Linked DNA regions of Nothobranchius furzeri. The protein of the gene in region 1 purifies or fractionates together with the protein of each later gene. This does not show direct contact. Links are inferred from orthologs where the notes say so. Each region holds a gene or a part of one and is shown in the gene's direction. Other genes may lie near its edges.

Evidence for each region.
Region 2: the proteins of cdk9 (region 1) and larp7 purify together in Homo sapiens (affinity purification with mass spectrometry; 15 studies listed by BioGRID and IntAct, counting the BioPlex papers as one, with this or other methods). This does not show direct contact. The link is inferred for Nothobranchius furzeri from reciprocal best matches to the Homo sapiens genes CDK9 and LARP7.
Region 3: the proteins of cdk9 (region 1) and ddx21 purify together in Homo sapiens (affinity purification with mass spectrometry; 3 studies listed by BioGRID and IntAct, with this or other methods). This does not show direct contact. The link is inferred for Nothobranchius furzeri from reciprocal best matches to the Homo sapiens genes CDK9 and DDX21.
Region 4: the proteins of cdk9 (region 1) and paf1 purify together in Homo sapiens (affinity purification with western blotting; 3 studies listed by BioGRID and IntAct, with this or other methods). This does not show direct contact. The link is inferred for Nothobranchius furzeri from reciprocal best matches to the Homo sapiens genes CDK9 and PAF1.
Region 5: the proteins of cdk9 (region 1) and immt purify together in Homo sapiens (affinity purification with mass spectrometry; 3 studies listed by BioGRID, with this or other methods). This does not show direct contact. The link is inferred for Nothobranchius furzeri from reciprocal best matches to the Homo sapiens genes CDK9 and IMMT.

What each region holds. Positions count from the first base shown.
Region 1 is NC_091742.1:88,947,933-88,954,206, reverse strand, and holds the start of cdk9 (cyclin-dependent kinase 9), read left to right. Parts: upstream 1-1,886; 5' UTR 1,887-1,990; coding exon 1,991-2,031; intron 2,032-2,170; coding exon 2,171-2,284; intron 2,285-2,821; coding exon 2,822-2,903; intron 2,904-4,921; coding exon 4,922-5,012; intron 5,013-5,098; coding exon 5,099-5,265; intron 5,266-5,342; coding exon 5,343-5,514; intron 5,515-5,593; coding exon 5,594-6,108; 3' UTR 6,109-6,274. UniProt on the Homo sapiens protein: Protein kinase involved in the regulation of transcription.
Region 2 is NC_091742.1:73,351,871-73,357,707, forward strand, and holds part of larp7 (la-related protein 7), read left to right. Parts: intron 1-1,921; coding exon 1,922-2,075; intron 2,076-2,162; coding exon 2,163-2,275; intron 2,276-2,494; coding exon 2,495-2,607; intron 2,608-2,712; coding exon 2,713-2,872; intron 2,873-2,885; exon of another isoform or gene 2,886-5,359; intron 5,360-5,837. UniProt on the Homo sapiens protein: RNA-binding protein that specifically binds distinct small nuclear RNA (snRNAs) and regulates their processing and function.
Region 3 is NC_091749.1:53,570,792-53,577,346, reverse strand, and holds the start of ddx21 (nucleolar RNA helicase 2), read left to right. Parts: upstream 1-2,523; 5' UTR 2,524-2,608; coding exon 2,609-2,692; intron 2,693-3,497; coding exon 3,498-3,824; intron 3,825-3,988; coding exon 3,989-4,114; intron 4,115-4,207; coding exon 4,208-4,283; intron 4,284-4,478; coding exon 4,479-4,657; intron 4,658-6,555.
Region 4 is NC_091753.1:48,340,128-48,345,535, forward strand, and holds part of paf1 (RNA polymerase II-associated factor 1 homolog), read left to right. Parts: intron 1-424; coding exon 425-457; intron 458-544; coding exon 545-637; intron 638-718; coding exon 719-840; intron 841-932; coding exon 933-999; intron 1,000-1,083; coding exon 1,084-1,185; intron 1,186-1,286; coding exon 1,287-1,392; intron 1,393-4,285; coding exon 4,286-4,354; intron 4,355-4,485; coding exon 4,486-4,589; intron 4,590-4,677; coding exon 4,678-4,794; intron 4,795-4,894; coding exon 4,895-5,023; intron 5,024-5,113; coding exon 5,114-5,219; intron 5,220-5,361; coding exon 5,362-5,408. UniProt on the Homo sapiens protein: Component of the PAF1 complex (PAF1C) which has multiple functions during transcription by RNA polymerase II and is implicated in regulation of development and maintenance of embryonic stem cell pluripotency.
Region 5 is NC_091741.1:108,907,923-108,914,246, forward strand, and holds the start of immt (MICOS complex subunit MIC60), read left to right. Parts: upstream 1-2,693; 5' UTR 2,694-2,827; coding exon 2,828-2,869; intron 2,870-3,192; coding exon 3,193-3,260; intron 3,261-3,335; coding exon 3,336-3,525; intron 3,526-4,001; coding exon 4,002-4,146; intron 4,147-6,324. Other genes in the region: slbp (histone RNA hairpin-binding protein), read left to right, coding at 1,128-1,289, 1,360-1,486, 1,572-1,643. UniProt on the Homo sapiens protein: Component of the MICOS complex, a large protein complex of the mitochondrial inner membrane that plays crucial roles in the maintenance of crista junctions, inner membrane architecture, and formation of contact sites to the outer membrane.

The sequences.
Region 1 (6,274 bases):
AGACCGAGGCTCTACTGAGGCCTTTCCATGGAGCTAGCTCTGTGGTCACGTGGGTCTGATGCTCATTAATTATACAGAATTTTAGGCTTTTAACACACTTAAACAGAAGAGTGAGAAAAAAATTCACCCCCCTCAGAGTTGTCATGAGTGTAAACTAGATCATTTAAACCAAAAACATGTTTTGGTACCAGGCTGTAAACATGTTTATTTCTGCTATGAAATTGGTATTTTTAACATGGGAGTCAATGAGGATTTGCTCGCTTCTGACACCAGCCCCTAGTGGATGACGGTGGAACTGCAATTTTTGGTACTTCCGGTAGTCTGGGGATCAAATCCCACCCGGGCCCTCGTTTCTCCACCTTGCCACATTTAGAAAACTAGAAGTAAATACAAATAAAGACACTGGATATACGCTTTACGTTAGCATCCACCATCAGCGTCTCCTGGCTAGGACCTTCTGTCACATGACTGCAACTCTACTCGGCTTTCACACATACGTTTTGGAAAGACATCAGCAGTTTTGTTAATAAATTCTTGTTCGTTAACACCTAAATGTCGTCGTCGTCGTCTTCCTCCGCTTATCCGGGTCCGGGTCGCGGGGGCAGCATCCCAACTAGGGAGCTCCAGGCCGTCCTCTCCCCGGCCTTGTCCACCAGCTCCTCCGGCAGGACCCCAAGGCGTTCCCAGACCAGATTGGAGATGTAACCTCTCCAACGTGTCCTGGGTCGACCCGGGGACCTTCTGCCGGCAGGACATGCCCGAAACACCTCCCCGGGGAGGCGTCCAGGAGGCATCCTGACCAGATGCCCAAACCACCTCAACTGACTCCTTTCGATCCGGAGGAGCAGCGGTTCTACTCCGAGTCCCTCCCGAATGTCCGAGCTCCTCACCCTATCTCTAAGGCTGAGCCCGGCCACCCTACGGAGGAAACTCATTTCGGCCGCTTGTATCCGCGATCTCGTTCTTTTGGTCATTACCCAAAGCTCATGACCATAGGTGAGGATTGGGACGTAGATCGACCGGTAAATCGAGAGCCTGGCTTTCTGGCTCAGCTCCCTCTTCCCCACGACAGATCGGCTCAGCGTCCGCATCACTGCAGACGCCAAACCAATCCGCCTGTCGATCTCCCGATCCCTCCTACCCTCACTCGTGAACAAGACCCCCGAGATACTTAAACTCCTCCACTTGAGGTAGGACCTCTCCCCCGACCCGGAGTTGGCAAGCCACCCTTTCCCGGTCGAGAACCATGGTCTCAGATTTGGAGAATCAACCTAAATGTTTTCTTTATAATTCTAATTTGTTAATAAAACACCATATTATCTTTGTTTTGTAAAAAATGTGAAACTGCATAAAACCAACATCAGACTGACAAAAAATAGAACAGTTCTTACATGTGAAGCCATATCTGTTTGTATTAATGGGGACTTCGTCTGTATATTTCCTTAGTTGTTATCTAAATACATTCTTTGACTCAAAATATTTCTTGGTGTCTTTCAGTAAACTTCTTATATTTTATTTTGCCCTATTTCATCAACATCAAGAACTTTTGAGGGTCACCGTTTATCATTTGCTTATATTTTACATTTCCTTTAGAAATTCAAACATATTTTCTCCAAAAAGTGTTGATTTTTGGACTACAGGACTACAACCGCTAAGACTACGACCGCAAATTTGTTCTGACCAATTAAAATCAAACGTGATAACGTAACTTCCGTAAGCTTCATGTTCAGCCAATCAACTACTTTGACGTCATCGGCAGTCGAAGGACCCCGAGCCGGTTCTGCACCCGAGCAGATCCTGTACCGACACCGGGGCCTGTTTATTCGGGTGGAAAAAGTTGATTTGGGGGTGAGTTTTGGGTTTTGAACGTGTCCTTGGGGGACTTGTAGTTACATCTGCTGTCCAGTTGGTGGCAGAATATCCTCTGTGGTTTGTTTCCAACCCTCCATTAAACAGAAGAAGAAGAAGAAAGGCGAACGTCAACGCAGTCATGCAGCGGGAGAAAGCTAGCAGCGCTGGCGCGGCTGAAAAGTAAGATTTCCAACTACGAATTCGCTCATTTGTTATATATGTTTTATATTTAAGTTTTTGGGTATGTCTGTGTGGTGTGTCTTGGTTTTTCTGTCTATAAGTTTCCTGATATTCAGTCTAACCTCTTTGTCCCCACCAGGCCGGACCGCGAGGCCGCCATAATGTCCAAATATTACGACGGAGTGGAGTTTCCTTTCTGCGACGAGTTCTCCAAGTACGAGAAACTGGCCAAGATAGGACAGGGAACCTTCGGGTGAGACAGACGTGTTTGAGACGTTTCATTGTGCGGTAAAGTGAACGGGTCTGTGTTTGTGCTAGCGGTGCTAGCTGATGTAGCATCGGCCATGTTCTGGCTGTGTTGTGCACACAGAGGAGGGCTAGCTCTGTTTCAGGGTCTTTAGTTGCAGCAGGGACGGAAACTCAGTAAAGATCCAAAGAAAAACCATGATGGACCGTCAGGAAGACCTAATTCGGGGTGCCAACTGGCACTGGCGGGCCGGTATAAAGCATGTTTTAGCGGTTTCTCTGCTCCAACACGCTTTAGTGGTTAAATCACTGTACAGCAGCTCATCAGGCTCTGCAGAAGCCTGTTAATCACCCGCTGATTAAAATCAGGTGTGGTTAAAACTAAAACATGGGTACCCCTGCCTTAAGGGGTTACAGGTAACTGGATCAAGACTGTTACTGATCCTGATTTCTAATGTTTACTCTGAAATTAGGGTTTGCGCTTGTCAATAACATTTAAGTCCTTGTTCTAAAACAGGATAAACGTGTGTTTGTGTCTTTTCAGGGAGGTGTTCAAAGCCAAGCACCGGCAGACGCAGAAGAAGGTTGCTCTGAAGAAAGTCCTGATGGAAAATGAAAAGGAAGGGGTGAGAGACGAGAACCTGGTAGCTCATTTAGAGATGTTGAAAGACTTTACGTCAGTTATGATCTGAAGTGTGAAGCTGGCAATCATATGGGTCTGAACAGCTGGATGTTCCTGGGCCTCAGAGGCTCGAACTAGAGCTGATTTCTTCATCACCACCGGCTCTCACAGCATCCGCGTCCAAACCCGCCTCTCCATGTTAGCTACCTCAGTTGAACTCTCCATCTTCTAGCAGGTTAATGTGGTGCCCACAGTTTTGTCCTCAGTCGCTCGCCTTGCTGAGATTAGCATTGGGACCCGTGGGATACCAGTCCCATTGCAGGGCTCTAATTGGATCCCCACTCGAGTGCGCTAAAGCTTAGAACAAGTGAACAGGGTTTAACGTCCACCACAGTGGACCCACGTGGTCGGTATTGGTTGTGTTGTGTCTGGGCAGTACCTGATACTGGTACGGTCATGGGTGCATCCCTGATCCACGTCCCAGAGTGGCCCCTGCTCTCCTGCAGCCTGAAGAGAGCCTGAAACAAGACAGATCTGAGTTTCTGTTGCTGCTTGTTGTGGTTAAAATCACAGCTGAGATCAAATCAAAGATACTTTATTAATCCCAGAGGGAAATTAGAGTTTCAGTACACACAATTCAGAGATCAGACACACATGGGCAAGACACATGACAAGAATTGGTGACTGTGGTCATTCGCAACCCTGAGTCGCGCTACCTTAATAGAGATAAGAGGGTTACATGAGGATTGGTTCAGGTGGAGGGAAAAAAGGCACTTCAGAGCTACCCTCCACAGGGAGGGCAGCTTTGCTCTGCAAAAAAACACCTCAGACATATAAGCATGAACATCAACAGTCCACAACATGAGACTCCCAATAGGAAGGCGGGGTGGGGCTGGGATCCTTCTTCCCCCAGCGAGAGCAGCCATCAGATGGGCCATTCCCATCTGTACCGGGTCAGCCTGGGCCAGGTAGCCCCAGTCGGCCCCAGCCTGGCCCGGTTGATTCCACACACCCTTTCCTTAAGCCCATGTGGGCTGATTCTACCCACCAATCAGAGGCTTGCTCTAATGGAAGGTGTGAATTTGCTGTCAGCAGTGGGTGTGTTGGCCCTGGTCGGCCTGAAGCAGACCCCCTCGAGAAGAGGGCTGAGAATGAGCCTTGGTTGGCCCGGAAAAATACCAGGCCACCCAGATATGTAAACAACCTACGCTACCCGGCCCGGGCCGACCCGGTACAGATGGGAATGGCCCATAAGGCGCTCATCTACTGTACAGTCACAGGTGGGAGGGAGATCTTGGGAGGCGTGAAGAGCACATTGACTCCTCCAGCTGATGACCTCGCCAGGCTGAAGTCCACCAATTGGGGGGGGGGGGGGGGGGGGTTCACAGCATCTAAAGTTAAAGTCCCATTAGTTGTCACACACACAGGTGTGTGTGCGAAATTTATTCTCCGCATTTGACCCATCCCCTGCGGGAGCGGTGAGCTGCAGACAAGCCGCGCTCTGGAACTATTTGGTGGTTTAACCCCCCAATCCAACCCCTATGCTGAGTGTCAAGCAGGGAGGCATTGGGTCCCATTTTTTCAAAGTCTTTGGTATGACCCGTCCAGGAATCGAACCCCTGACCTCCCAATCATTTTGACTCTGGTGAAGCTGAAGAACACGTTAGAACTTCTCACTGGTTTGAAGGTGGTGGGGTGAATGCTGGAGAGCTCTTATCTGAGTTCAGGATAGAAATATGTGGTGCAGACATGACAGGAGTCTTTCACTGAGGCTCCTTCATTCAGTCTGGAGAACTTCAACAGCTGGGTAGATGTATTGATCACCACTGATGATCAGCTGTGTGAAGGTGGAGAACCATTTTCATGCACAGATGGAGACATGAGAGGGACGACACCGCTGTCTTAGATTACAGCTCACTTTGGTTAAAGTAATATGAACATAAACAAATGACCCGAGTCGTCTCATTAATATCACCGCGTGGACCGCATCTCCAGCATCGCTCAGTCTTCGTTTCGTTTCAGTTCCCCATCACAGCTCTGAGGGAGATCAAGATCCTGCAGCTGCTGAAACACGAGAACGTGGTGAACCTGATTGAGATCTGCAGAACCAAAGGTTAGTGGCTTCAGGCCGGATCTTCAGCTGCAGGAACCATCTGCTGCTGGAGCTGAAGGTGACACCCAGTGTTTTTGTTGTTGCAGCGACCCAGTTCAACCGGTACAAAGGCAGCATCTACCTGGTGTTCGACTTCTGCGAGCACGACCTGGCCGGGCTGCTGAGCAACGCTAATGTGAAATTCACGCTGGCAGAGATCAAGAAGGTGATGCAGATGCTGCTGAACGGGCTGTACTACATCCACAGGAACAAGGTGAGACCGATCAGAAGCAGAACATTAAAGACCCGGTCTCAAGTGGGCCCGGTCCTAAATCGTGTGTTCTGGTTCAGATTCTGCACCGAGACATGAAGGCCGCCAACGTGCTCATCACCAGAGACGGCGTCCTGAAGCTGGCGGACTTTGGCTTGGCTCGGGCCTTCAGCCTGGCTAAGAACAGTCAGGGGAACCGCTACACCAACCGGGTCGTCACGCTCTGGTACCGACCTCCGGAGCTGCTGCTGGGTATGAGCCTCTCTGGACTTCTGAAGGAACGTTCTGTAACAAAGAACCCTCTAACAGAACCTGGCTCTGTGTCCTTCAGGTGAGCGGGACTACGGACCCCCCATAGACCTGTGGGGAGCGGGTTGCATCATGGCGGAGATGTGGACCAGGAGTCCCATCATGCAGGGGAACACCGAGCAGCACCAGCTGACTCTCATCAGCCAGCTGTGCGGCTCCATCACAGCTGAGGTCTGGCCCACTGTGGACAAGAAGTATGAGCTGTACCAGAAGATGGAGCTGCCCAAAGGCCAGAAGAGGAAGGTGAAGGACCGCCTGAAGGCCTACGTTAAAGACGCGTGTGCTCTGGACCTCATCGACAAACTCCTGGTTCTGGACCCATCGCAGCGTATCGACAGCGACGACGCGCTCAACCATGACTTCTTCTGGTGTGACCCGATGCCATCGGACCTGAAGAACATGCTGTCCACTCACAACACCTCCATGTTTGAGTATCTGGCTCCGCCCAGACGGAGAGGCCATATGCCCCAGCAGCAGCCCAACCAGAACCGGAACCCGGCCACCACCAGCCAGACTGAGTTCGACCGAGTGTTCTAGTGCGGTACCGGCAAATGGGCCAACAGAACTTTTGTTTCCCCGGCGGGGAGAACATTCCCGTTTCCTGCTTTAGGCGTCCCGCTGGGCTCGCTGCTCGGTCTCGTTTGAGTGATGACCGTTCTGGTTCTACAGGAACAGCTTACTCTGACTGCACGTGGTTCTGACC
Region 2 (5,837 bases), about 16 Mb from region 1:
ACCTGACTTTTCTTTAGAAAATCTGTGGACATTTTACAATGTTTTTGTGTTTAACTTCCTGTTTAGACTGACCTGAACTGCTGAGTTTGATGTGTTCTGGAAGCTTAGCACGTAAAAAAAAAAAAACCTTAAACGTAATCAAACTTTCTTTTCGCGTCGGCGGCTAATTGTTCTATGCTAGAACCTTCCTTTTACTCACATTGTTTTATGCTAAGCATAACTTACTGCTTCCAGATCAGCAGAATGACTGAGCTTGTTAGCTACCAAATCCTTTTTCTCTCTAACCTAACTGGGAAATCTAACAGACAAAATGCTACATAGGGGTGGAATATTCCCTTAAGTGTAAACCAGTGTTGGGAGTAATGCGGTACAAAAGTAATTAATTACTGTAATGCATTGCTTTTAGCAGTAATGTGGTAATGTAAGGCATTACAGGGAAAGAAAATGGTAATATTTACTCGGTACAACTGTCAGTAACGCGGTAATTACAATGCATTTTTAAACCCAGAATCAAGATGTGTTCCTTAAAAATTCAAATTGCGGGAAACCCGAAGAAAGATCCAGTATCTGCATATATGACGTCATTTATGGACTCAGCTTTGCGGGCAGAGAGGACGCAGCGGCAACGGCTCAAATACTCCAGCTGCGTCCTGCACGCGGCCGCTGTAACATTCACAAAATCGCTCCACTAAAACAAAATAATTCACTTGCGATCGTTCATATCAGCGCATGTTCTCTGGTATTTTGTGCTTTTCTGACGTGCTTTGCCTCAGCTGAGTTCATAATCTGTGCCCCGGTGATTTCAACTCATTACTGCTGGAGCGCCGCGCATGTGTAGATCCCTTTGGCTGATTAGTTAGAAAGTAGGAAGTCTAGGAAACAGTTTTTCTGGAAGACGGAGAAAACATGCAGCGTGCAGGAAGGTTAGAGAGAGAAAGGGCAGGAAATTATTCAAATAAAATCAAGAAAACAAAACAAAGTGCTTGAAAAGAAAAAAGTAGGTAGATTTATCCCCAATAGACATTTTACCAGTGAAAAGCAATAATATATAAGCATTTAATATTTATACATGTGATAGAATCAGATCACCCCAGAAGTCAGGCCCACATCCAGGGCCGTATCAAGGCATTTGGGGACCAAGGCAATATAGGCTTGGAGCCCCCACCACCCCACTCCCTGCTCAGTTAATATAAGACGGCAGCGTGTTGAGAGTACATATTATTGTTGCTTTTATTTAATAAACAATCATTTTAAAGCACTGTTATTATATGTGGCTGTTTTTAACAGCAATCCTAGCTCAGACACCACATCACCTTCCACATATATGTCATGAGCTCACTGGGCGTCACATTACCAGATTCATATTGAAGTTGTTTTGGTGAAAGTAACTTAAAGTAATGCAAAAGTAGTGTAATGCCTTACATTTTTAAATCAGTAATATTGTAATTTAATGAATTTCTTTAAAATGAGGGTAACAAGTTATAAATAATGCATTACAGTTTTGAAGTAACTTGCCCAACACTGGTGTAAACAATAAAAAAGCGGCAGATTTAAAAAAAATGTTATCGTTTTAAAAAAATAATGCCAGCAAATGGCCGAAATAGAAAAAATGGCATATATCGGTCGGCCTCTAGCGAAAACAACAGTCTGCATCGGTCTAGGAATGTTCTCAAATTTTCATGTATGCTCAGTGATTGATCTCTGTTCATGTGTTTACCTTTTGACCACATCCTTTCTAATAACCTGAATGATTAAAAGTCCATTAACCAGCCTAATTCATTCACTTTGGGATCGAACACTGGGAGTACAGAGGGTGGTTACGTCAGAATACACACCTACTTGAACAAAGTGATGATGCATGTGTTGAAAGTGTTGTGAAACCACGCGGTTTGTTGCAGTAATGATGCCCCCCCGCCCACAGAATCACACGCTGAAAGTGACACTGAGGAAAATGTTGAGAAAGGGAAAGACAACGGTGATGACTCAGCCGTGAAAGCAAGGCGGAAGAGAAAAAAGAAGAACAAAGAGAAGCTGAAAATCGGAGAGGAAGTCATCCCGCTCCGCGTTCTGTCCAAGTATGCTCCTTAATAACAAACACAGACTGATAAATTACCAAAAAATGTGTCACTTTGAGGATCTGTCTTCCTCTTTTTGTCATGAAGGAAAGAGTGGCTGCAGCTGAAAGAGGAGTACTTGGTTCTGCAAAAACGCAGCATGGCATCGCTGAAGAAGACCATCAGGAAGATTAACGAAGACAAAACCCAAGATGGAAACGGTGAATTTACTCAGATTAGTTCAGATGTACTCAAACTATTGTGTCACGCACAAGAAAATGTTTAAAACCCCATACAATAATAATTTACCACTTATTGTACTGACATCATAGTTTCCGAACCCAAGGTATTTGAGGCGTTTGTTGAAAATAACTGTTCTTTTTCTGGTGTTTTTGTTCGATTACATTTTCCAAACAGTTTCTTTTCATGTTTGATTCTAGCTGAGCTGGAAAGCAAAAGTGAAAAAGAAACCAACCATGGCCCTCAGTTCATCAGCGGTGTGATCTTGAAGATCACTGACAGCAAACCGTTACCATCCAGGAAGATCATCAAGGTTCAGACTCGGCTTTTTGCTCATTTGTTCCAGTTTTCATGTTCGATGAGAACAATTTAAAGCTAAATTAAACGTGCACACTCTGTGTGGTTTGTGTGTGTTTAGGATACTCTGTCCAAGATATCCCCAGTGGCTTATGTTGACATCTTGGAAGGAGATGTTGAGGGTCACATCCGTTTTCACACCTCAGAGGAAGCAAAAGCGGTCTGCAACATTAAAGAGGACCTGCAGAAGGAGCACAGCTGGAAACTACAGATTCTTAAAGGTACAAGATTCATTTATAGAGGTTGAATAAAACAACCAATAACTGTTTTATTCGGGGTGTGTACGGGCAAGAATCAGGTGATGCCATATCACAATTCAGGGAGCACAAAACTATATATTGTGATATTAAAAGCCAGATCATATTTGCAGTTTTTAAGACTGAATTTAACTGGAAAACTCAGGCCAGACGCTTCAGATGCATTGTGTTCTTACGGGATCTCAATGTTCTGTCAGAATGAAGGAAGTAAAAACTGCTGCCACTTAGCAGTCGGAGTTTAATTGCGCCACACAAAAGAAATACAAAACTTAGGGATGGACAATATATCGGCATCAATATCGGTGTCGGCCAGTGTTAGTAGGGATGAGCGAGTACACCACTAACTGTATCTGTATCTGTTCAACCAACTAAATTATCTGTATCTGTACTCGGAATGGGCGTGGCATAACCCAGAAGTGGGCGTGGCTTAACCGGAAGTGGGTGTGGTTTACATCAATCTATTATTTTAAGTCTGAAATTGATATGAATTGATCAGAAGTTGCTATGTGTATTGTTTATTTGAAAACTATTTACAGAGCAGCCTCAGAATAGAGATGAAATATTTTGATCACAATAGTAAAGAAACTATTACAGAACAAGTGTTTCAATCAAATCAGAACATTAATATTTAAGTGCATGAATTAATACATCTGAACTCATGCAGTAGGAACTAGGAAATATGAAATGCTAGAACCAGACACAACTTTATATATATATTTTTATTTTAACTTGATTAAACAGATTTTTTTCTTAACATTCTTGGCATTTTGCCCCACACAAAGTTAAACAAAACAATGTTGATTGAGGTGTGTGTGTGTGTGTGTGTGTGTCTGTGTCTATGTGTGTCTGTCTGTGTGTGTGTGTCTGTGTGTGTGTGAGAGAGAGAGAGAGAGAGAGAGGGAGAGAGTTAAAAAAATAAAAAACCCGACCGGAGAGGAGGTAGAGACGCAGCACGTCAGCTCTGTCTTGTCAAATGTACCATGTACAGTAAGTTACAAAAAAAGTAACTTTAAATATTCAACCGAAAAAGAGGCGAGCTGAAGAAAATCTAAGGAAAACTGAAGAAACGTGAGCAACAGTGAAGCAAGCACAGCGAGATCCGTTACTGTCTGTGTGTGTGCGTGGATGAACAGGACGGACTGAGCTCCCGGCCGGCTAGAGTTTTGTGTGTAGGGAGGGGCGGGCGCTCTATGTGACTGGCCAATCACAGAGCGTGAAGACAGTCAGTTACCCAATGAGGATTTTCCTTCAGCACAATTACAGATATTTACAAGGTTTACTCGTGTCATGCTCGTATTCATCAAAAATGCTTTATCCGTACCGGATACTCGTCTGAAACGAGTATCCGGCTCATCCCTAAGTGTTAGTCATTTTTTTAACACATCGGTATCGGTTTGTTGAGTAACACCAGGCTGATTTGCTTGCCTGTTTCAGAGGGTGAGGGGTAGGGCTGGGTCGACGGACACGTAAAATACGTCGACGCAAATAATTTGCTCAAAACAAACATGGCGGCAGCGAGTAGTGGCAACATGAGTGGGGCAGTCGACTTAAATCACTTAACCCAAACTCACAGTTCAAAAGTATGGGACTATTTTAACAGAAAAGGAAGCGATTCAGTTGTTTATTTTATTTTATTTTTTTTTCAACTTTATTTTCATTTATTGACATTAAAATAAAAGTACAAAACTAAATTGCTAAAAGCCAAAATGAAAAAGGGGATAGAAAAACTTTTGCTATCTGCCCCTTTTAACTAAAATAACATTAATACAAATGAAACAAACATATGATTCTTAAAAAAATATGAACAATATAGTTTCTGGACCGGTTGGCCGACACAACCTCAACCCATGAATTGAAAAAAGAGAGAAAACAAGTTACACAGAAAGAAGCATAAAGTTATAGACTTATATACTTACATATATACACACATGCATACATAGACTTGTGCTCCCCCCCTTTTTTTTCTTTCATCCCCTCAACCCCCTCCCCTCACACATTTATGTAACAGATCTATATAAGTTAATCATTTCATTTTTTCTCTTTTTTGAAAGTCAATATTGTTTTTGCATTCTTGATTTCAGTATTTAATTTATTTCACATTTTAACTCCATAAATGGACACACAATGTTCCTTTATGAGTATCTTATGTCTAGGTATATTCATGTCCTTTTAAATCATATCTGCCATGTCTTTTTGTAAATCTATTGATTAAACCTGCAGGTGTGTACTCTTTGTTTGCAGTATACATACATTTTAAAATATTGTAGTCCACCAGATCATAGAATTTTGGTGTTTTTAATTTTACAAAGAATGGATTGGACGGATCTCTGTAGTTGCTCCTTGTTTGCCGGCTTTGTAAAATGGAAATGGCTTATCATAAAAGCACGACAACTATGCACCAGCACCTCAAACGACGGCATCCAGGAGCAGCTTCTGCAAACGAAAAACACAGTAAGTTTTCAACTTTTTTATTAACACTGTTTTACACACCCACATCCAAACACCCCCACGTAGCCATGCACTCACTCACACACACACCGAGATAAACACAACCCCTGGAACTCACTAACCCTCATTTAAGCTGCTTAGCGGTAACACAGTGCAGCAGCTGTTACCTGTTTTCTTGGTTTTTATTTGTGGCTCATGATGGCTAAACGAGTCAGATCGCACACAGGCTGATTATGAGAACGAGAGCTGAAAATGTGAGAGAGCGCTAATTGGCCGTGGTAAAAATGTTAAAGACAATGTACCACCTGCTAAACGTAGCCATCAAGTACTCAAGTTTCATGCTTCATCCTGTTTGAACGTTTTTTAATACTTCATGCTCCTCCAGCTTGTTAATCTTATAGATCTAAGTTGCACCATCTAATGACTAGAAAAATGTGCAGCATTTTGTGTGAACGACCTCTTTTTAAACAAATCTTACAGA
Region 3 (6,555 bases), on another chromosome or scaffold:
ATGAGAAGATCTCTCAACCACTGGCTCATGAGAGATCTTACTATCATTGGCAGAATCTTATTAACAAAAGCAGAGGGCTTATCAAAATTAACCTATCCTTGTCAGTCTCTTTATGCCCCCCCCCCCCCCCCAAATGATAAAAAAAGTAAACTCGATCATTTTTAATGTTATATGGAAGAACAAGACACACTACCTTAAAAAGTCTGTGATGGTTAAAGACTATAAACATGGTGGGTTAAAGACTGCTGATTTTGAAGCCATGATATGTTTACTTAAGCTAAACTGGATAAAAGCTTTTTTAATACAACCACATTCTATATGGTTCCACATACCAAAATGTATTTTCCAAAAGGTTTGAGGATTAGAATTCCTGTTAAAATGCGACTTTGAAATATCTAAAATACCAATCAAACTATCTGACTTCCATAAACAAATACTGCTCTACTGGAAAATGATATTCAGCCACAACTTTACACCACACAGCCCCACCTTGCGGAATAATAGAGCCGTTGTAATTAATAGGAAGACTATATTTAAAAAAGAGTGGTATGATAAAAATATTTTATATGTGACAGACTTGATGGATCAAAATGGCAATTTGTTACAATTTGAATGTTTTGTCAAAAATTTTAATTTCAAATGCTCTGTTAGAGTTTAATCAAATCAGTAGAGCTATTCCACTTCCCTTAAAATTCACAATTAAAAATATCTTGCTTAATTCAAATGTGGTGATTAAACTTCCTGAGTTGAAAATTGGCTCATTTAAATTAGGTGAACAAAAATGTAATGACTATGTACTTGGAAGTATGTTTAAAAATAGTTATTCTATGATTTTGAAAAACCAACGAAAACAAAAATCACAGGATATGAAACTACATTAACAAAGCCATATTGCAGCTATCTTAAATGGCCAATTGCACCCAAGTTGAAAGAAATTCAATTCAAAATAATACATAATATCTATCCTGCTGTCGAAACATTAAGAAAAAGATTTAATTTTAATATGAATCCGTGTCTTTTGTATGACAGAATGTGAAACTATTGAGCACCTTTTCTTCTCGTGTTCAGTAACAATTGGTTTTTGGAAGGATGTTTATCGATTGTTAAATATTGAGAGAAATGATGTATGGCTTAACAAATCTAAAGTGTTGATATACATGGATGCTTTTCCAAAAAAGAAATCCAAAATGGTGAACATTATTTTCGTCATAGGAAAATACCATATACATAAGACTATGGAAAAACAGCAAGCCTAACATTAACCATTTTAAAAATGAAATAAAACAAATTACAACATCTCTAAGAGTATCATCAGAAAATAACCAATCTATAACTGAGTTGTATGAAACAATGTCTGAGTTTCTTGTTCTTTAAATTACAGTCCAATGAATCAAACATGTTTGAAATGCAATGCTGAAATATCAACCTCTGAACATTTTTTGTTTGTTGTTGATATAATTTTATTTTAATTATTATTGTGCATCATAATTTATTTCATGGTAGTGTCATTTGGTAATCGTTGCAAGTTTTAAATGTAATTTTTTATTTTCCTCATGTGAGGTCATTTGTAATTGTTACATTCTTCAGTACGTTGAGGTTACAATGTAAACTGAAAGTATGTGAAAACGAAGATTTAAAAAAAGTTAAAAAAAATAACAAAGCGTTTAGAAAAAGTTTTTTTTTTGCCAGAAAAGAATCCGTTCGCAATTATCTAACTTCTCTTAGTAAAGTGCACTCAAATAACATTCAAGGACTAATGGAAAATCTATTTTACTACAGAGCCTGCAATATTGCGACTGTTCACTCCGCCATTAGAGTAGCACCTGGCTGCACATTCTCTTTCCTTACTCCCGGAAGAACGGTTCAGAGTGCAAATTGTTTATTTGTTAGTCTGTAAGGAATATCTACAAGAACGTTATACAGAAAGTAGCAAAGGGACCTGAGAAATGTCAATAGGCGCTTTTTTTGGGGGGGGGGGGGGGGGGGGGGGGGTTGAGGGGGGTTAAAAAAGTCGTTTGACTCGATCAAGGCGTTTTTTTCAAAACTTTATTGAACAAGGTGATAAGTATACAAACAAATTGCATACAAAATTGAACAAAGAAGATGAAACATATGCCAGGTGGTGCACTACAGAAATGTTACACACATCCAAATAAATTATAGGTGGTGCAAATAGTTATAGTTTTTAAAGCTTTTTTGTTTAGTGGTCCACTAATCAATTTTATGTAAGATAGAGTGTCACTATAATAGTGCTTGAAATTAGGTTTTTGGTTACTATATGTGCATTTGTGGAGATAGAATTTAGCTAGAATAATTAACAAATTTATAACAAAGTATACATCTTCCTTTCTGTGCTTGCGAAAAAAACAAAATACAACATTTTCCCATTTTAAAACAAAGTCTTTGCAGAGCTGTCCGATAATAAATCTGCTAAAGTCTTTCCAAAACGTTGTTCGATCAAGACTTATGGTAGTCCCACAATAGTTTATATTTCCGGGTCAAGCTCGCGACCGCGTATCCGCGCGCCGCCGCCTCTCGCGTTCCTTTCTATCCGCGTGCCCGTAGCTTTACCTGTGTCCACGCTGAGGGTTTCCAACTGGGTAGAGAAATGCCAGCAAAGATCATCTCAGAAATCGAGGAATTCACCATGGATCAAGATATGGACACTGTCGCGGAGGCTAAAACCTTAAAGGTGAGTGTTGGAAGTCGTGTCAACCCAAAAAGTGTAATAAAAGTGTCTCCTACGATGTTCCGTCGACTCCTCCATGTTGACAACATGTGGCTGTCCGCGCTAAGCCTAAACGCCGGCTAAATGATAAACGATTGTAATTTGTATAAAAGAAAAAGACAAAACCAGAAACAAAACAACAGCATACATGTTTCCCTGCTTTGGCTACTGTCATAATTTAGCTTTGTTTAGTGATTAGCTTGCTAACGTGGTGTTAGCATATTTTTGCGTAGCTAACGTTGCGTACACAACGTCCTCCCATTCAGCTGATCTGTAGAACATATGGAACCACGAGTTGACTGGCCACGACGAGAAGGTTTTTGTGTGTGTATCTGTCTTGGTGACGCGTTACGCAATTCTTCAGCTGTCCATGATGTTTAAACAGGACATTTGACTGAAATAGTTTTCATTTCTGATGGTGTATTTTGAGTCAGTTTGAATAATTAAGCAGCTTTTTTTGTCTCAGCTTATTGCGTAAACCATACCTTAATCTTTAGTCAGTGTTTGAGGCTGATGTGTTTAAAAACACCATTTATTAACAATAAGTAAATGTGATCTGGTCTGATCAATCAGTTTCTTTGAAGTTACATCATGGATCCCTGGGACCATGTGAGATGCCAAACTTGGTAAAAGAGTAAATGAAGGGAAAGAGTGCATCTTCATGAAAAAATCATCAGGATAATGCACTCTGTGATATTTAGTAATAATTTAATTTAAACGTTTGCCTCTGATTATTTAATTTATGTAAATTGCGTTGATTTTCTTGAAGATAAAGAATAAGTCCAAGGAGGGCAAAAGGATGAAGAAGCAACAGCAGCAGGACTTGGAGGAGCAGCAGGATCCAGACTGTGAACCTCCTGCACCAAAAAAGAAAAAGAAAAAAGAAAAACTGGCAGCGGACCAAGTCAATGGCCACATAGATGAAGCCACAGACGTAAACAGCAACAGCAATGGTGTAGAATCACCAAAGAAAACTAAAAGGAAAAAAGATAAACTGGCAGCAGACCAAGTCAATGGCCATATAGATGAAGCCACAGACGTAAACAGCAATGGTGTAGAATCACCAAAGAAAACTAAAAAGAAAAAAGCAACAGAGGTAAGTTTGGGCAGATTTACAGCTTCCTGTTGATAAAAGGTGACATTTTGGATTCTGTTTTCTGATAACCAACACCATCTGTTGTGGGGTGATAGTGTTATGGTGCATAAATATTCTGTTTCTGACCTGTTTTTACTGTCTTATTTTGTTTGGGGTGAGTTTAGAAAAACAAGAAGATAAAAATGGAAAGTCCTGTGGCAACAACCAATGGTCATTCTGCCCCAAACACACCAGTTCAGACTCCATCCCAGTCCAGTGATGACTCAGCCAGTGACGGTGAAAGAGAAAACGTAAGAGCTGGGATATTTATAGTCCTGTTAAAACATGTTTAATTATTTTAGTGCTTCTGAAAAAGCTAATAATCCATATTTTGTTTAATTTAGGAACTGACACCAGAGCAGAGAGAAGGAGCGTTCTCCAATTTCAGAATCTCCCAAATCACTATTGATAAACTGAAAGGTAAACATAGAAAACCTTTTATATATCTGTTAATTTGACAAAAGCTGCTAAATAGATTTAAACTGTAGTTCTTATGTATGGTATTTTTTTTTTATATTCTACGTTTATTTTTTTTTCTCGTTCTGTTCTTGGGAGAGAATTTGTTCTTTCTCATCTAAACTTTTTTTTTTTGTCACTTTTCAATCAAATCTTTAGCTCGAGGAGTTTCCTACTTGTTTGACATTCAGGTAAAATCTTTTAATCCTGTTTACGATGGGGAGGATGTCATCGCCCAAGCCCGCACAGGAACAGGAAAGACCTTCTCCTTCGCTATTCCCTTGGTGGAGAAGCTCCAGAAGGAAGCAGAGCAGAAGATCAGAGGCCGTCCTCCTAAGGTGCACAGTAAATAAGCTCACTTCTGACTATGGTTGGGCATCGTTTGATTTTGAACAATTCCAATTCCTCGTTTCGATTCCGGTTCCTATCAATTCCCGATTCCGATTCTTTCAAGACATGACATGTTTTACATGAGCCAGCTAACCACAGGTCCTGCCTGATGAAATAATCTTAACTTCAACATGAATTTTAATTCTATGAACAACAACATCACCTTCATTTAGACAAAAACATGTTTGGGAGAAGAAAAGAAAAAGACTTGCAGCACAACTAGTGTGTTTGTTTCTGACCACAACCAAAGTCTGGAAGAAGCCTCTGGGATGAGAGGCTAAATGTCTCCAACATATCCAGAAACGTCCAGCTGTTTTCAGCTAAAACTCTCAGGATGATCATGTCCAGGATGACTGAGAACTACACCTCCATGCTGCAGCAGCATTCAGTCAGAACAGGAAGTGAAACTTAAATGCAGCTGCTGTCAGTAACAATCTTAACAGATTTTAAACATTAAAACTAGAGGTGCTGAAAAAAATCGATTCAAGTTTGAATCTGGATTCTTATTTATAAAGATTCAGAATCGATTCACAAAGGTTCAGAATTGATTCCAAGAACTCAAATATTTGGCATGTTACAGGTTTGAGATGCACTTTTTCGATCTTTGTTAGGAGAGTCAGTACTCCGTTTACTTTTGTGGTCCCATAAATTGAGATGATTTATGTTTGAATCTGCTGATAAGAGGGCACTTGAATGTAAATTTTTCCATACTCAGAAATTTGAGATATTCCCATATTTATTTTCTAAGTTGATGAGTACTCAGGATTACTCATGTAACTTGTTTCTACACATACATGAAAAGTATTTGACCATATTACTTTCAAAGCAACTGTGAGGTAACTACAGATTTGTTATATTTTACAAGGTAAGCAAAAATAAATGTTGCCTTTTGGTCAAAATATTGCTTCTGTTAACAGTTTTAGAATCACTTTATTTTACATTGTAAATTTGCATTTTTGGAGCATGACCAGTTTAAAGTCAAATAAAAATGTCCCATAGCTTTAACTAACTTGAACAACAAAGTAGTTAATCCTGGAGCTGACACTCTTCGTTAATACTGATTGTGAATCGATTTAAATCGAGAATTGATTCTGAATCGAATCGGCTCCCCAAGAATCGGAATCGAATCAAATCGTGAGTTGCTCTAAGATTCACATCCCTAATTAAAACTCTCAACAGAAATAGTTCAGAAAGGAAATAAAAAAATGTTATTTATTATTATAATTATTTATTGTGGCAGAAGCTGGTGTGGTCCACAACAGAGAAGCTTCTAGCATGGTGACTAATTATCCTACTGGTTATTGTTCAGCCTTCTCATGCTCACACACACGAGTGTTGGTGAGCGGCTGCATCTGACTGCTGACACTCCATGTGTGTTTTTATTTCTGCAGTGAGACAAACTCACCTCACACCGTCCAGAGTTTGTTCTTTTAAGCTTCTATTAAATCCACCGTGTTGACGTATTTTAACAAGTTTCCTCTCTGGCGCATTTTCGCTACAGAAGTTAAAGTTTACATTACGGAGTAAAAGTTCGTCAGACACGTTTGTTTATATTTGGCCGCTGGGTGGGGGGAGGGGGGACTCGGTGCTGCACACAGACAGCTGGTGTGATCAGCTCTAGAAAGCGGTGATCACAATTTGCAGATCACATTTATTTTTCACGGAGATCGGCCGCAAATTCCTCTTCCGTCGATATACTAGGAATCGAAAAAATAAACTTTGAACTTTTCCGGGAAAAATGAACAGTTGGAACCGGTTCAATGCCCAACCCTACTTCTGACAGTAGTATAGTTTTACCTTAATGTATTTTTTTTTCCTTCACCTGGGTACAATTGTGTTATTTTTT
Region 4 (5,408 bases), on another chromosome or scaffold:
AATCCACTGCGTCCCTCGAGGGGGGCAGGGGCTTTTCTGGTTGCAGTCTCCCTGGGGTCCCTGTGCTCTGGGGCAGCTCCTGGATCTCTGGGACTTGGAGCTCCCTCCAGAGATCCATGGGAAGAAAGAAAGGAGAAAAAATGTGTTTTCAAGACTGTCGGAATAAATATAAAAAATAATTATGTTTAATAGAATAGTTTTGCATTTTTGCAATATAGAAAAACAGTAGAAATCCAAACGTTTGTTTTCTTTCAGTTCTCATTGTGGCTTTTGGTGTATTTGGTTTATTATCGACGTAAATATTCTTCGGGCTGCATTCGTTGGTGTGAAAGGTCTCCACCAGTGTTATTTTGGGGGACAAAGCTAAAAGGTTGCAGTTTTCCTGGTTTCTTGGCATTTTTTAAAAACTACTTTTATTTCCCAGTAGGCCATCTTCTCACAGAACTGTTCCAGAAAGGTAAGTAAATTCAGCTCTTTTAAAATGTATATCTTACATGTCATGCATATTGATTTGACTTATCATTTTCTTTTGTCCCCATGACAGGTCGGGAATTGTCTGTCGAGTGAAGTACTGCAACAGCCTGCCAGACATCCCCTTTGACCCCAAATTCATCACATATCCATTCGATCAGCATCGGTAGTTTCACTCTCCTGCTTTCTGAGTTCGATAAATAAGGTTACAAACAGACACACACCATTTATCGATCTGCTCTGACAGGTTTGTTCAATATAAAGCTACATCTCTGGAGAAGCAGCACAAACATGAGCTCCTGACAGAACCAGACCTTGGGGTGACAATTGATCTCATTAACCCAGACACCTACCGCATAGATTCTAACGGTAAGTTTCCAGTTACAGACTCACCTTATATGTTGTTTTCTATTTAGATTATGTTACGTTAATAAAGACATTTGAATATTTAACCCTTTCAGTTCTTTTGGACCCTGCTGATGAAAAACTGTTGGAAGAAGACATCCAGGCTCCGTCCAGTTCCAAAAGGTAACTCTAAGATAAATATGGCGTTATCATTTCATATTTTTTTGTAATGTTGGGGAATGAATATGTTTATTCTACATTTTTAAGATCACAACAACATGCAAAAGTGGTGCCGTGGATGAGAAAAACAGAATACATCTCCACAGAGTTCAACAGATATGGTGTATCTAATGAAAAGGTGGAAGTCAAGTAAGTTTGATTTTCTTAGTGTGTGTTTTATATGTCTGTGTGTGTGTGTGTGTGTGTGTGTGTTAGTAGGCGTCTTTTTTTAATTATTATTTTGCATTTAGGATTGGAGTTTCTGTGAAACAGCAGTTTACAGAAGAAGAGATCTACAAGGACAGAGACAGTCAGATTTCTGCCATTGAGAAAACATTCGAGGATGCTCAGAAATCGGTAAGTTTGACGTTTGTTTAACGGCTCTGAATAATAACATTTCATGTTCTTTTATATGAAGATTATCTTCGTGGACACAGTTTGACCCTGTGTGGGTGGGATTTAACCCAGAAACCGGCTCTCTTCACCCAGGTTACAGGTTAAGAACAAGTCCAATGGAGCCCTGGCGCTCCTGCAGGGACCCAGACCTAACTCAAAGATCAGCATTCCTGATCCAGTTAACCATGGTTTTGGGAATTTTAGGAACTCACCAGGAACCCGCCACAATTATAGGGCCTGTATCATGCTATTTTACACCTCCCAAAGCAACGGCTGACGCTTTATATGATAAAATATTACTGTTGGCATTACTGAGATGTAATTTTTTATAAATATGTTATTTTTTGTGAGATATACCTTTAACCCAGAAATAAGCTGCTTGGATTTGATGAAACCCAGCTTCTATCTGTGTTAATTCCACAATAGTGCACGGCTGCAGACCCAAAGACTAGCAGCAGTAGCTCAGGAGGTAATAATAAATAATGCATAGAACTCATATAGCGCTTTTCTAGACACCCAAAGACGCTTTCACACACTCTCACATTCACACACTGCTAGTGATGGTAAGCTACTTGTAGCCACAGCCGCCCTGGGGAAGTCTGACAGAGGCGAGGCTGCCATTTGGCGCCGTCGGCCCCTCTGACCACCACTAACACAGGCAAGTTGGGTGAAGTGTCTTGCCCAAGGACACAACAGCAGGAAACCCCTGGCGGGATCTGGAATCGAACCCATGACCCTCCGATCATGAGGCAACCCGCTCTACCACCTGACCTACTGCTGCCCCACGGGTAGAACGGGTTGTCCAGTAACCAGAAGGTTGCAGGACAAATTCCGGCTCCCTGCAGCGAATTCTGCTGTCGTGTCCTTTGCTCAAGACACTTCACACTCCTAGCCTACTGGTGGTGGTCTGAGGGACCGGTGGCACTTGTGCAAGGCAGCCTCGTCTCTGTCAGTGTGCCCCAGGGCAGCTGTGGCTACACTGTAGCTTATCACCATCAGTGTGTGTATATGTTTGTGGATGACTCACTGTAGTGTAAAGCGCTTTAGAGTCCTCTGACGCTGAAAGGCGCTATACAGGTGCGGGTCATTCATCATGACCCACTCAGTGATTGCCGAGTCCCCCCCGTAGAATTCTTAAGCCTGATTCATGCTTCTCCCGTCTGCGTCAGTGCGGAGACACGCAACGTCCTTGCGGGCCTGCCGGAGAGCACCGCAAGGACGGACGGAGTAGAGCTCTCTTTTCTAAACATCCTTCAGTCGAGACGGAGAATGCAAGCTTGTGATTGGTCAGGACGCCGCTGCTGTCTACTGCGCCGCTGTTGCGCCCTCAAAAACATAAAGAGAGCCGAGGATAACAAGCGGCAGACACGGAGAAGCTTGAAGAATACCTCGCGAAAAAACTCTAAAAATATGAACGTTTAATTCCCCGTGACTGGAGGAATGAAAAGATGCGCAGCAAGCGTTTTATTTGTGGACAGAAATGACAGGAAACGTGGGTTTAGAGGTGGCGAGCGCATGAAGAGGTGGAGGAGGGTGAGAGACAAATTTGTCTGTGTTAAAAAGTCTCTTATATACAAAAAACACAAAATAAACACACTATCTTGGACCGATACATGATAGGATACCACAGAACAGTGCTACGCCCTCTGTTGTCCTGCCGGGGAATTGCTTTGCAACGCTCTCCAGGAGACGGAGAAGAATGAGAGCAAAACGCTTCCGTCAATCCGTGCGTGTCTGTCCCTTGCGGAGCTGATGGAGAAGCATGAATCAGGCTTTAGCTGGAGGGTGACACATACAGAGCTGGGGTGAATCGGTCCCAGTTTTTCTCTGATAACCTTTCAGCTAGCAGTTAGCATTTTGGTATTACCTACATGACTCTCCACCAGGTGGTTTCAACGTTGGAATGAAAGACACAAAATCTTTTTCTATAGCGCCTCTCAAGATAAAAATCACAAGGCGCTTCACAAAAACAAAGAATTTAAAATATAAAAAGATTTGGTGCTGGTTTGAAGAAGTAAAGCATCTCTAGTGCTGGTGGTGGTTTAACAAGCAGTCTGTCAAATCACGGTCACTTTTTGAGAGCTCCTGAAGTTAAAATCCAACATTTTCTGATGATTAAACTCTTCTTTAGGAAGACTAGACAGGAGTCTTGTTCTCTCACTGGCACACGTCCATTTTTTGGTTCCAGACATTATTTAAAGTGCAGACTGGACAAGAAAAAAATCACTTCTTCACAACTGTGGAGATTAAACTCCCTGCTAGCTACATGGTGAGACCCGGTGTTAGTGTTTACAGTCGAGGGGAGGAGGCATCTGGACTAAAGACTACCTGGATGGGGAGGGGTGCGCCGTGATGATGCTGCTATAACCCCATCCAGCTGAATCAGAATCAGGGTTTTAGTGCCATATGTACAAGAATTCATGAAATTTCTGTGGTACTTGGCGCAAAAAGAAAGATACAAACTGGGGATACGTAAATATAGGAAGTAAGAATACAATCATGATAAAATAATAATATAAAGTGGCAATAATTAGAGAAATGGCTACTATATACAAGAAAGTGTAGGTACTGATCAGAGCGGATCAGTTCAGGTGCAAACACAACACAGGGTCATGTGACTGAAACCAAGCGACTTGAGTGGGCGGCCCTAGGATTGTCATTCATGAGTCCAACAGCAGCGGGAAGCAATGCAGCCTGCTGGGCAGACAATTTGCAACTGAGACAGAAAAGTGCTCGCAAGAAGTGTTTTCACCTTTAAAATATTAATCTGCAAATTAGCTTTTTGGTGCAAAAGTGGAAAAACATCATGTATGGTGAGATAATAAACCAAAAAGTTGTTGTTTCTCGTTTCCAGATCGCACAGCACTACAGCAAACCCAGAGTTACTCCTGTGGAGATCCTCCCTGTGTTCCCTGACTTTAAGGTGACCTTGCCGCCTAAAGAATGAGCACACACACACACACATACGCACACACACACACACACGTTGTTGTTTTCGTAGCTGCTTCACTAGCAGAACTGAATAAATACCTTCCTCTCACATTTTCTCCTCAGATGTGGATCAACCCGTGTGCTCAGGTCATCTTCGACTCTGATCCGGCACCCAAGGACATTTCTGCTCCAGCAGGAGTGGAAATGATGTCTCAAGCTATGATCAGGTATCTGCTAAAGAAATGATGGTATAAGTATACGTCACAAAAAGGTGTTTTTTTTTTTCTGAAAGCATCCCTTTATTGTTTAACGCAGAGGAATGATGGACGAGGAAGGAAATCAGTTTGTGGCTTACTTCCTGCCTAATGAAGACACGCTCCGTAAGCGAAAGAGAGACTTTGAGGAGGGACTGGACTTTATGCCAGAGGATCTGTGAGTGAAACACAAAATATTCTCTCTGTCTTGTTAGAAGGACTCCTGCTGGAGTCTGCTGCAGTATCAAGTATAAAACCATCTTCTGCGTGTGTCTCAGGTACGATTACAAGATTGCGAGGGAGTACAACTGGAACGTCAAAAACAAAGCCAGCAAAGGTTACGAAGAGAACTACTTCTTCATCTTCAGAGATGGAGATGGTGTTTACTACAACGAGCTGGAGACGAGGTCATCATTCACTCCAGTTGTTTTCTGTTCATGCAGTAAGAATAGGTTTAGTCGTGGGGGTGTCCTTAAATGGTTTCTTCTGACCTTCAGGGTGCGTTTGAGTAAGAGGAGAGCCAAGGCTGGGGCCCAGTCCACTACTAATGCTGTACTAGTGTGTAAGCACAGAGATATGAATGAGAAAGAGCTGGAAGCTCAGGTCAGTGAAAGTCATTAAAGCTCATTCAGACTCTTTTTCTCAGTGTTGGTAAAAGCAGAACCTATAAATGTGATGAACGATAGGCTGTGTTATTACGCATCACTGCATTATCTGAAAATGCTAAAAATGTGACTTCTAACAGGAAGCCCGTAAAGCTCAGCTGGAGAACCACGAGCCAGAGGATGAGGA
Region 5 (6,324 bases), on another chromosome or scaffold:
TGCTGAGTCCTGATCCAATATTTCTGCAAAACATTAAAATAAGAAAAAAATCACACATCCAAGTCGTCCCTTGAAGTATTTTTTAAAGTAGCCGCGTGGCTCTGTTCAAATCGTTTACTGATCGGTGCGCGTTCCCTCCACTGAACGGGCGGGTCTGGGCACAAACTGTGCAGAGATGTTTGTTAAAGAGCAAGTCACCCCCTACAAGAAACTTACTTCACTCCCTCTTCATGTTTGAAAAATGCAACAAATGCTGCTGCTTGGCAGACCGAGAGGGCGGAGCCGCTAACAAATACACACACACAGGCTCACAATGGCATTATGACATCATAATGTACCAGATGACATCATATCATACCTCTTAGCCAATAGCATTGGCAGGTTTAAATTCTAATACAGTGCACAATTTTTCTCTGACGACGGCGCAACACTGACAGTTTTAGACAGAATATTTGAATTTTAACCAAGATGCACTGAACTGCCAAACTATTGACGACACGTGTCTGTAGCATGATTAGACACTCCTTTATATAGTTTATCAGCAAAAAAAAATGTGATTTGGGGTGACTTGCTCTTTAAATAGTGACAGCTCATACCAGCTCCAGTGATAAATGATGGCCGTGCCTGTTGCTGGTCACAAACACGGGTCACACCCGCCAGCTAGTCCTGCTTCGTGTTTTTGTCCGAGTAGCTGCAGTGAACTGAGCAGGGTTTACTTTTAGGGTGGCGTTTCAGATTCATCGTGTTGACTACAGCTCGGCATGTTAAATACCCAGTGTGCACACACAACAGAGGCTATTGCTCCACCTCCACTGTCCAGCTTAAAATACGTCCAACCTGCAGACGTGTTCTCTCCGGAGGATACGCGTTAGCCTGTTGCTAACAGCTACATGTTCCGGTGTCTGAATCCCCCGTCTGTTGTAAATTGTGGGATGTTACGGTGTCGTCGTCTATGGATCTTGTCAACATTAGAACTAAGCCATCATAATGTTTCAAAATCAGCGTGAATACAAAAGTTCCTGCTTTCTGTTTTATGTGGTTATGGCCGACCTCTTAAAAATCTCTCTGATCGGAGCGCCCTCACCGTAGAGAGTTGTCCGTAAAACCTGGACCGTGTCTGCTTTCAGGCACCTGCGGCAGCCAGGCATCCACCCGAAAACCCCCAATAAGTTCCGGAAGTACAGCCGGCGCTCCTGGGACCAGCAGGTCAAGCTTTGGAAGGTCAAACTGCATGCCTGGGATCCTCCGTCATTGAGCTCCCAGAAGACAACTCCTAACAGCAACAGCAGGTAGGAGAACGTCAGGCTCGGAGGAGCCTCCTTGTGCCGAACCCAGCAGGTCATTTTGTTTTTCCTCCAGTCAGGAGCTGGACCCCTGTGAGGAGCTGGATTTTGGTGACGTCATGGATATCGAGTTGGACTTCCCTACCCTGTCGCACTCTGAGCACCCCCCCACCGCCCACTGGGTGCACGCCTCCTCTGTAACGGTGAGTTAGCGTAGTTACGAACCGACAGGTTAAACCTAACACTTTTTGGGCTCGGTTCTGAATCTGCTTGTTCTGTGTTGTTCAGGATCAAGACTACCTGGGGACCCCAGTTAAAGTCCAGAGGACAGAGAGCCCAGGGGGGCCTGACATGGTGTAGCTCATGGTTGGGGTTCCTGCTGAACTCCACCTGCATCTAGGAAGTGTGTTCTGGAGTCGTTTGGGTTCAAATATTTGTTTTTAGTCCGTAAAAAGGACACTTTTAACTTGGACATCTGCTCAGGGAGATCACTCCACCACCAGGTTTATAATTCCAGCTTTGACCCGTCAGGAGACTGCTGGGATGAGCCCCTGTTGTCCTCGTCTGTTTGTGTCCCGGTGGGGAGACGTCGCATCGACCTGAGTCCAGGAGTTATTTAAGGAGGAGCGACGGCGGACGGCTTGTAGAATATTTTGTAGAGCTCTGATTTGACTGTTGAGCCGGACAGTTTTACGTTTGCTGTTATGAACTACGTGTAATTTTAATATGTCCTTATTACAACTGTTTGTTTGTTTGCTTTTGATGAAGACATGAAAATAAAAAGAACAACCTCGTTACTGGTTCTGACTGGTGCCTGAAATCCTTGAGAAGGTCCGAGTTTTTATGGAATAAAGTACTTGGGAGGCATTCAGGTGGAAGTGAGTACGGGACGAGTTTGTTCTTGTGTACGTGTCGGCACTAGGAAACATGCTGGAACCAGTGTGTTTGGTGAAGGAGCTCACGATGGACCAGGTGGAGAACATCAATGAAACTTCATTTGCTCTCTGAAGACCACGGAATCGATCAAGGAGTGGAGGGGAACGTGTGAAAACTGGATCAGAAATTGTGACCCGGCATTCCCCTCCTGGGAATAGTTGAACGGAGAGCTAGAGAAGGTTCTGCTCCTACGGAGACCTCCACAGCCGAGCCGTGCCTGATGGCGGGAGTCGAGTGAGAATGAGAAGTCAGCAAGTGATGACTAGAAGCTGATGGACGGGACCGGTGGCAGTTGGACCTGTTTTTACTCTAATCGGGTGCGATGCGGGCCGGACCACAGTGTGGACCTTCACCATCTACTGCCAGGAGGAAGACCACCCGAGGACCGACAGGTAAAGAGGAGAGAACGTCCGCGTGGATGGAGCCATACTCCCCACCAGCAGGTGGCGCTGAAGACGGGTTGCTTTTCCACCCGGAAGTGAAGCCTGGCAGCGGGAGGAGGTTCCGGTCCGGTTCTGGTTTGTGTCCGCTGAGCGACTGTGTGAAGGAAAGTTGTCGTGGTGCCACCGCCGAACCCGCTTTGGACTCGGACCGTTGAAGCGAGGACCATGCTTGGAGTGTGCCTGCGAGGAGCCCACGCCACGGTCCGGGTAAGAGCCGAACCCGTCCTGTTAGCAGCTAGCATGGTGGGGTCATCCGGTGACCCAGCTCAAGGTTCCACGGTTCTCAGGGTTGAACAGAACCAGTTTTGTGCCAGGACATCCGGTCCAGTTTGGCGTCTCTGGTTAGCCCGCGGTTAGGCTTTGTTTACATTCCCTCCGGTACCGGTAAGGATTAGGGTCCGAACCCTAACGAGCACCTCTCAGGTGACCTGTGTGTTCAGAGATTTGATGTTTACAGGTGAGTTTAGTTGGAGGTGACGTCACAACCGTAGATGCTGCCTTCACTGTACCTGGGACATTGTGTGTTTCAGAAGAACTGTGTGAGAAGTCCTCTGACTCCGCTGCAGTCCTACAGGTGCTACTCCACCAGCAGGAGCAGGTAACTGACCCCTCAGGTGAGGTAAGGACACACCTCACAGGTAAAAACCTAACCGTCTGCCCCTCCCCATCACAGCGGCGCCTCCAGAGTGGTTGCTCTCGGCTTGGTGACGGTAGGCGGAGGCGTGGGAGGGACACTGCTCTACTCCAAATGGGACCCCAAGTTCAGAGCAGCTGTGGAGAAGAATGTCCCGTACTCTGATTGGCTGCTGGGCCTGGCTCTGGGACCAGCTCCTGAGGATGCCCGTCTCCCTGTGAGGAAACAGGTGAGGAGCGGAGGTGAACACCTGTTCACACGCAAAGTCCAGTTCCTGTCACCTGTTAAGGTTTTCCTGTGAAGTCCACCTGAGCTAAAGAAGGGGGCGGGGCTTGTTGTTTAGAGCGACGGCTCTCATCATTTGTGCTGATTTTGTCTTCGCTGTCTGGCGTGCCGCCACCAGAAGGCGCGGTTTAGGTGTTCCCTGAGCTGCTGCCACAAACTAGGGATTGTGATGAAAATGGAAGATCATCTCATGGTCACATGACGTGGCAGCTGTACCGTGACAAAATTCACTTTCGTCTCCCAGCAGAGGAAGTTTGGATTTAAGTAAACCATTTGAGCGTGTCGATGGACTTGGGGCTCAGGGATGATCTTGTAGGAGCTGGATTAGACTACGCTGCTAAGTTGTTTCGACGTGTTGTGGCTCAGTAGTTAGGAACAATAACATTATTTTTTTTATTATCTCTAATGGTTTCTGTTCAGGTGGAGTTGAACCAGCCACCCTCCATGTTGGATAAACCAAAAACGGATCCCAAAGCCAAGTCCCAGAAGAGTGTGAAGGAGGCAGCAGAGGCAAGTGGCCCAGAGTCCAGTCTGGTCCCACCACCGCCAGCTCAGAGCATACAGGGTAGGAGGTTCTCACCGTTTCTCAGCCGCTCCTGCAGAAGCTACCACAGATTAGCCGCTGAAGGAGAGCCAGCTGTGGAGCGCAATGAGCTTCATTTGGTGTTGCGTTTGGGCCAAGCGGAGTGAATAAACGCATACGAGATTTGATTATGGCGACGTTAAAACACGACAACAGGCTGGTTGGACTTCATGAATTACCTTGTAGATTTAAAACTACGCTGCCTAAAAGATGCTGCTTGTTCACAAGTGGTCAGAATAGCTGGTGTTGGGATCATTCTGGAAGTGACGAGTGTCAGGTAGTCTGAGGAGCCTGATGCTTGTTGGAATAATAATCCTCATTGTTAGTGATTCTGATCCACAGGTAGGATATGAGCTAGATGATTTAGATGATGAAAGAGTTTAGAGAGCGGTGCAGACCCTAAAGGACTCGTTGGTGACGGGAACAGACAGCAGGGTTGGTTCCAGGGTCAGACGGTGGATGAGCCGGAGACGAGGACAGAAATGGTAGAGAAGAGTAGTGCAGAACATGTGTGAGACAGCGGGGGGGGGGCACATGGGCGGTCAGTGACCTGTGATGTCAGGAGGTTATCTCTGAGCATGTGGGCGGGGCAAAAGAGCGCGGTGTAGGGTTGCAACAAACGATTATTTGGGTCATCGATTCGATTAATCAGATTAAACGGGAACATTTAACAATGGAACTTGATTAGATAACAGCTCAGTGGCGTTCAAAACAACACGCTGTCACCTAAATGTATCCTTAGTTAAAATTTAATTAGCATTTTCAGTAGCTAGCTACTGGAAACGCTAATAACATTTACTTTCTACTGCTAACATGTAATGGTGACACATGTACGGGTTGGCACTAATCCAGTTTAAATTGCGTTCACGGATAGATGCGTTTGTGAATTACATGCTACGGTGGCTTGCCATAACCCCGCAGCGGAGCAGACTCAAAGCAGCAACCAGAGGTTCTGCTCCCTGGTGCTGCAGAAAGCTAACAATAAACAGGATGGCGGGGACTTTTCTTCCGCTGGTAGAGTTTAGATGTTCTTAGTTTCACGACCATCGTGTTTATTTGGAACTTCCATTTTATTTATGAAGCAGATTCCCACACGGCCGAGGCCAACCACAGTGCTGCACAGTAAAAGAGCATAAAAATCCACACACGGGAAGAAAGTAATAAAAGTAGTACAGTGACTACTATAAAATCAATAAAAATAAAACAGAGACATGGTACAATGCTAACTCGGCTGAAGTAAAAGCCACGGAATAAAAATGAGTCTTCAGGCGTGATTTTAAATCGGAGAGAGAGGGGGCCATTCTCACTGCTAGAGGGAGTTGATTCCAGAGACGAGGCGCAAAGATTGAGAACGCGCGTTCTCCTTGCGTCCTCGCCCAAACACTTGGGACCAGGTACGTAGGGCAGAACCAGCTGAGTCAAGTACAGAGCAGCATAAAGACGGAGTGACTTAAAAACAAGAAGTAAAATTTTAAACTGGATGCAGTAACGCACCGGGAGCCAGTGCAGCTGGGCCAGAACAGGATTAATGTGCTCCCTCCTTCTGGTGTCCGTCAAAAGGCGGGCCGCCGCATTCTGCACCAGCTGTAGGCGCGCAACCGAGGAAGATGTAGATCCATAAAGAAGGGAATTTGCATAATCAAAGCCAGAGATCACAAATGTATGGATCACTGTGTGCCGGTCATGTCTAGTCAGGATGGATTTCATCTTTGGTAGCCGGCGAAACTGGAAAAAGCAGGATCTAACCACCTGGCTAACCTCACTTGATCTGCTACTCGCTAGCGTTAGCTAATCTACCCGTAGTTCCACTTTTAATCCTAGATTTTGGACCGTTTCTGCCTTTGTGTCTTTTCTGGTTTCTGTTTTCCTCCACAGCACCTGTTAGCACGTTGTGCACCAGTAAAAGGCATCTTCTTTACACGATAGCAAGCAACGTACCTTTGTTCAATAAAGTTCTGGGGGGGGGGGGGGGGGGGAGTAGCTTGAAAAGATGTCGCACGAGTGCTACGTGTAAAAATAGTTTAATGCACACAGATTTTTTTTTTCATCGCACCTGCGACATATATGTCCCCCTCGCTCTGATCTGCCTCGGCCTGCTCTGCTGCTGCATACAGATGATCGTTGCCAGCGCATTTGCAGCCGCGGTGTCCATTACTGAAC